Kluyveromyces lactis: one gene and its partner. The protein of the gene in region 1 purifies or fractionates together with the protein of each later gene. This does not show direct contact. Links are inferred from orthologs where the notes say so. Each region holds a gene or a part of one and is shown in the gene's direction. Other genes may lie near its edges.

The links.
Region 2: the proteins of SSM4 (region 1) and CUE1 purify together in Saccharomyces cerevisiae (affinity purification with western blotting; 5 studies listed by BioGRID, with this or other methods). This does not show direct contact. The link is inferred for Kluyveromyces lactis from reciprocal best matches to the Saccharomyces cerevisiae genes SSM4 and CUE1.

Annotation. Positions count from the first base shown.
Region 1 is NC_006042.1:2,566,118-2,570,535, reverse strand, and holds SSM4 (E3 ubiquitin-protein ligase SSM4), read left to right. Parts: upstream 1-1,474; coding exon 1,475-4,246; downstream 4,247-4,418. Other genes in the region: KLLA0_F27709g (uncharacterized protein), read left to right, coding at 91-966; SUMO protease ULP2, read right to left, coding at 4,380-4,418. UniProt on the Saccharomyces cerevisiae protein: E3 ubiquitin-protein ligase which accepts ubiquitin specifically from endoplasmic reticulum-associated UBC6 and UBC7 E2 ligases, and transfers it to substrates promoting their degradation.
Region 2 is NC_006041.1:984,801-987,461, reverse strand, and holds CUE1 (Cue1p), read left to right. Parts: upstream 1-1,283; coding exon 1,284-1,940; downstream 1,941-2,661. Other genes in the region: KLLA0_E11243g (putative endodeoxyribonuclease), read left to right, coding at 1-111; SAP30 (Sap30p), read left to right, coding at 339-839; CAC2 (Cac2p), read right to left, coding at 2,312-2,661. UniProt on the Saccharomyces cerevisiae protein: Component of the endoplasmic reticulum-associated protein degradation (ERAD) pathway.

The DNA of each region.
Region 1 (4,418 bases):
GAAACCATAGTACGACCTCTTAGACACAAGATTTTTTTATCCAAGTTTCAAATTTGAACTTCGCAGTACCGGTTTACTAATTGATAAAAAATGTCATCCAGTATGAATGGTGGAGACCACAACTACGAAGATAAGCATGCGGGGAATTTTCCAACTTGCCGTATTTGTATGCTGGAAGGAACGTCCGATAATCCGTTGTTCCATCCATGCAAGTGCAAAGGCTCCATCAAATATATTCATCAATTATGTTTGATCGAATGGCTACAGTCAAAACATGTCGATGTTACAAAACCTGGTGCAGGGATGGTATGTTCGATTTGTAATCATCCAATCGCGTTCCAAACTTTGTATGATGAATCAATGCCAGAGAAGATCCCACTTCTACTTCTTCTGAAACATAGCGTTTTCAAAATCTTTGGCAAATTAAATCACTATTTCAAATTCACATTGATTGCGTTCCTTTTCTTCATTGGAATTCCCCTGTCCTGGAATATCTGGGGGAAGCTATATACGGCTACTGTGGATGATTTTTCATTTCCTTCAAATAACAAATGGTATATCAATTTGATTTATGGCTTTGAAAGAAACATACCAAAAAATCCAACAACTACGGATATTTTATATCAACTAGTGATAAATTACAGATTTTCGTTGTTACAAATTCTGATGGTTTTGATCGTGCATGCTATCGCATATTTACAATATGATATGGTAGTCAGAGAGCCAATTTTCAATAAGATGATCTTGCATAAGATTGGACCAAGATTTTCAAAACAAGAGCTGGCCATGCAGTCATTAAGAGAAAGATTTCCAAATATGGATCCAAATGATATAAGCATGCTCATAAATGCCCTCAATAGACAACGACAAGACGATCCAAATGAAGATGATACTTCAGAAGACGAACAAGAACAGAACAATTTCATCGTAAACGAAAATAATGATGAGCCTCAGCTTGCCAACTAACTATAATCCCCCATTTAAATATTTACGATATTGATAATCTTCATATTGAAACATTGCATCAGCCTTCACTCCAGTTCGAAATAAACTTCTATATACAATATAATTCCCTCGTTGTCCCATCAAATCATTCACTTGCTTTAGTAAAACATGCTAGCCCATTAGATTCTCAAAGATGAATTTGGTATTACCCGGCTTATAATGGAAATTGAAATTTGAAGAAGGAAATTTCAACATGGGCGCAGACAATCAGTATATACATCGTCGACTGATCTCGTTTCACAACTAAGTACAACAGGTTAACAATATTTAATCTTTGCTACAATTGTATAGCTGTTGAAGTTGAATAATTATATCATAGAAACTGAATCTTCAACTTGAGTTTTCCGCATTAGATCCCTGCATTACTCTTTTCTTCTGATCACAATATCATATTTCTTCTGCAACATATTCATATCATTACCAATTAGCTGAGTTATTAATCGACTGTACTTTTAATTCACAATCCATTATGGAAAGACACTTTGCACAAAGAGAACTCGATGGGCGGTTGGATGCTCAACTCGGACGACCTCAGCCTGTTGAAGGAGAAGTACAAGAAGATGGAATAAATGCTCAACCAGCGGTTGTACTAGAGAATGAAGATGGTCAACCTACGGCTATCTTGAATTTAAATCTTGATTACAAATATTTACCGAGCTACTTTTCCTTAGTCTTTTCTGTCATTGGTGGATATCTTTTCATTTCATACGCTTTAGCCACACTTGTCGGATATCTGTTGAATTTCATTTATTTTAGAGTTGTGATTATAATGCTGAATGGAGTAATAGTGTCAGCAGAGAGGTTAAATATCCCAGAATACAATCAAAAGCTTATAGAAACTTTTTCTTTGGTATCCTACGTTGAAAATTGGATTAATGGGACAGTTTTAATGCCAATAGTATCGTACTATCAGGGATACATGAAAGGCACAGCAAAACATACGATGCTGGTACGAATGTTGGCGCCAGCCAGTACATATGCGACTTTCATAGTTCTTTGTTGCTGTATACCAGAACTGTTATCTAGAGGGCATTCCAAGAAGCTACCTCTAAAGAATTCTTTGAAAAGAACGATTTTCAAGTTTTCCTATATCATCAAGTGCACATTGAAAGTGCTAGGGTTGTTTACACTTGAACTTGCCGGATTTCCGATTTTAGCGGGGTTTTTGATTGATGTGTCACTGATCTCACCGCTATTATTACCACAGAGCAGCTTGACTTTCGTACCGAGTTTTTGTTCCTTTTGGCCGCCTATGACATTTATTATTTATTGGGCGATTGGTACTGTTTATATGTATCATTTTGCTCAATATGTCGGCATGGTAAGACAATATATTATCAGACCGGGTGTTCTTTTCTTCATAAGATCACCAGATGATCCTAATATTAAGCTATTACAGGATTCTTTGATATACCCAATGAAACTTCAACTCTCCAGACTTGCATTGTCGATGGCAATCTATACAGCATTCATTTTAGTAGGTTTTGGATTTCATACGAGACTTTTGTTTCCTTACATTTTACATTCGGAACTTTTACCTATGAAGCATGGATTGTCAACTCTCATAAAACCAAATTCTATGTTTTCTATTGCAGTCATTGCTGGAACGTATCTCATTCTCTCGAAGAATAGAGTTATTGATGCTTATGTTAGACAATATTGGGTCTTTGTATTCAATATATGCTGCAGAAAACTAAGACTTTCCTCTTTCATCTTAGGAAAAGATTCACCAACTGAGAGAGGACATGTTATTTATAGGAACTTTTACTATAAATGGTTCGTCCCAAACAAGGCAAAACTGTCCAACCTAGAATTATACTCTCATCCAAAATCGCTCGATGAAACCTATACTCTTTTCAAAACTATTCCTGATGTTCACGCATATTTTGTCCCCGATGGCACCATGATGCGCGTACCTGCGAGCGACATAATATCAAAAAAATATGCACAATTGTTGTTCGTCCCAGTTACTAAGGATGACAAACTTCTAAAGCCATTGGATATCGAAAAAATCAAAGAAAGACAGAAACGAAATGCCGGAGAATTTGGCTACCTAGAAAAACAGCCCACGGAATTTGATGAATATAAGGTAGTTTATGTCCCTCCGCATTTTACTTTCACTTATTCGCTGTTAATTGTCTTCATATGGATCTTTGCTTCCCTTTTGTTTACTGCTGTGTTATTAATCTCAAATTTTGCTGGGCTTCCCATTATCACTGGATTGCAATTATTGTTGAATGCGGTTATCCCCCCAGCAATGAAATTTCAAAATGAACTCTATGAAAGTGTAAAACCATTAAATCTTCTTTCCGTTTCTTCTGGTATGATACTTTTGTCTCTCGCTTTGTCATCCTACCACGCACATCTATTAAATAATATCCATCTAAATGACAGAATATTGGAGGTTAATGCCGAACACAATGGGGATGTTCCAAATAACGGTCCAAACGACGATAATCATCAGCATATAGTTCACAATGATGATAATATTCCCGAAAATGATGAAAATCCAGTAGCCAATGAATTTAGAGTACCGGAAATTGCTGAAGGTGATGTTTGGAACTTGATCAAAGGCTTTGTAACAATGGTGTATCCAGTCTTTACATTCTACTTTATGCCAATCATTTTCAAGTTGAATATCAATTATCATTCGGTCTTCATATTCACCTACTTCAAAGATTTCTACTGGAAAGGCGACGTTCTCGAAAACACAAGCCCTGATATATCGTTTGTTCCATTCCTTTCGAACCTCGCATCAAAATCAGAATACAGCGGCTATTCAGCTTACTCATTAATAGCTGCTCTATTGTTTTGTCAAGTAGCAGCAGTGGCGTACATCGCGGTACAGTGCAGTTTGAAGCGGAATAAAACATTAGGATTCAGAAGATTACTCATTAGGGTCACGGATATATGCTTTGTGTACCTCGTTGCAATGATTGCGGTACCTTTTGCTCTGCAATATAGTTTTTCTATGTTTGAATTCCTTACCCACAAACAAGTTTACACCTCTTCATGGGCACCATTTGTTTATTTCATTTTCATACAGCCTTCTGTCTCGGCAGATCATTCCCTTATGACTACATTTCAAAAGGCATTCTACTACGTTGATGTAGTGACGATTTCCTCGGCGTTCCTAACTGTGAGCTCAATTTTATCCAAGTCGCTTTACAATTCTTTATCTCAAAGTGTGAGAGACGAAGTGTATGCAAGAGGAAGGATACTAAAAAACTTTGAAGAATAGTTTGATCAGTCAAGATGTCTTTATAGATTTATTAGCGAAATTTTTTTATTCAATGAATTATTTTATCTAGTCTTACCATTAAAATTTATTACTTACGACTGGGAAGTAAAATGATGGAAAACAGGATATGTAGCTATTTAGATGCAAATTGATCGAAAAAGCTGGCTTTGGG
Region 2 (2,661 bases), on another chromosome or scaffold:
CGACAGATGCTAGATTCCGTTCTTGACGCCATTTCAAGAGCTCACGGCATTTCCAGGACTAAGGCGATGGACACGGTATTACAAAACTTCAATAGATTCTTACGTAAATGAGATGAGACGCAGGGACTGCATGTATGTTCTTTGTTTAATGTAGTCATCCTCTATATCTAATTCCAAGTTATTCCCACTTATCTAAGAAAAAAAAGTGTCTTAAGTACAAAATTTTGATCTTTTTGAACATTTGTCCAGGTGGTAAAGGGCATTACCATGTACTGCTCCATACCATCTCAGGTGTCAAATAGAGTGGGTGCTGTACAGTCACAAGGATCTTACACGACATGGCACCAAGGGGACACAATAACTCAAATTCAGAGTCCGAATCTAAGGGCAAATCATCGAACAATGCAACTTCAGGTGCATCGACCAGGACCAGTGTGAAACAAAGACTCTCGAGTGCTCAACAGCAATACTTGAAGGACTTGAACAAGAAACATATACATAACAATCATCCGAAGAATGAGCCGCTCCCAAATCCGATGGATTTCGAACAATACTCCGATGAATTTTTAAGGCGGTATAAGGATAGGTTCCAATTGAAATCTCCAGATAATCTATCAATACAAGGGTACCTTCTAGGATCAAGGATTGGGAAACATACTTACTCGGCGAAACGAAACCAGAAAAATGTACCAGATGCAAGGGTTACGAAGCAGGAGCTTGCGAAAGGTGTCAGGGAACACTTCGATAACTATACCGTTCGAGAAGCGGAATGCCTTCCTCAGTTTATTTACAAAGTACAAAATCAGAAAAAGAAGTTCAGAATGGAGTTTAAGGGATGAAGCGGTGGTGTTGCATAGCTCACTTCCATCTTGGGCATGTAATTCGACATCAGCCTAATGGCTTCATCTATTTGTAACATATATGAATAATATAGAACGTAATAATCAAGGATATCAACGGAAATCTATTTGGAACTAGCGTTCTATACGCTGATTATATGCACTGCAGTGAAAAGGACAGATTGCACAGCAAGCTGTACACACGTCCTTCTGCTCTTTAACATTTTTTTCCTTTACAGGTCGTTTACACAATTTTTCTCTTTAATAAGAAATGAATGATATTAATTATCATTCACAAGTAAAAACTGTAACAAGACAAGTATTTGCTCCATAACCAGGCATACTGTGTTTTCCTGTCTCCAGAATAATTAATATCACAGCAATATATTGAGAGCAGACAGAAATTATTGTGTTAGATAGAGTATCTGAATTAAAACTTTAATCATGGCGGATCAAAGTTTCACATTATTTATCATTTTGGCTATTGCCGGTTATATTGCTGTGAAATGGTTTTTGAGCAATAACGAACAACATCCATCCATCCAAATCAATGGTTTTTCTTCGCAATCAGACTCTGCCACGGCTTCAGGTACCGCCGCGTCAAGTAATGCCGCTTCAAGACAGACTAGAAGGCGTATTCGTCGTAGAGTCAACGATGATATGATCGAAGTGGTACAATCCTTGGCTCCACATCTACATCCAGAACAGATCAGATACGACTTGGAACAAACCGGATCAGTTGAAACTACTGTAGAAAGATATCTCTCGGGTAGAGATATGCCATTCCCACCAGATTACGTCCCAGAATCTGAAACAGGTGGCAATTCTTCCAATGGTCAAAATCAATCGACCGGAAGCTCTGTAACTACAGGAAACAATACAAACAACAATAGCACATCTACAGATCCACGGAAAAGATCCAACATTAAAGCTGACAATCTGCTAAAAAAATTCAACGTGGATCCACAAGAAGATCTTTCAAACTTGAATCCCAACGATCTTTCCATAGAAGAAAGAAAGAGATTAATGGTATGGCAGGCAAGAAAGAGTATGGAACTAAAGGTGGAAAACAGTGAATACCTACAGTCTCTACTGAAATGATAGGTACAATTGTGTAGATATCTATAAATCGTACATATACCAGTAAATGAAATCCATTCTCAATTACATGCTAGAGTGTGTCCTTTACAGCTAGATGTCTTTCCAGAGAGAAATGTTGATCACGTGACTAACCATTTTTTTGCATTTCCTATTTTGTTTCTATATTGTTTCCCAGACCTTTCTGTTTCTACCTCCTAGAACTGCCAACACCCTGATTCTTGTCACGGGCTTGGCAATAAGGCAATCGGCTGGTGTCTCGAATCTTAACTCGGCGATTATTACTTACTACTATACACAGTAATTATTGCGTAGAGAACAGTTCAAAGTCACGTGTTATTCCGCCATCTCCCTCTCTATAAACTAATCTAGTTCTATTTAGGTTGATCTGATGTGACGAGAGTAGGTTGAACCCTGCGTTTGAGCTTCTCCTTTCCAACTGTGGTTGCAGCTTCTGAGACAAGCTGCGAGATCGATCTTTTAGCTGGTGAAGGGTTTGGAGTTTCGGCGGCACCGGTACTAAGATTTACGATACTAGCCTTTTGTGATGATTCTGGTTGTGATTGTGATTGCGATTGTGATTCGAGTTCCTTCGTCAAGATTGGTATAGATTGATCTTTCAAAGGTGTGCCAAAATCATTGTCTGTGAAGTGAATATATGAGCAGAACCCGTCTGTGCTTGATATCATTAGTAATGTTCCGTCTTGGCTCCACGCAAGATCTG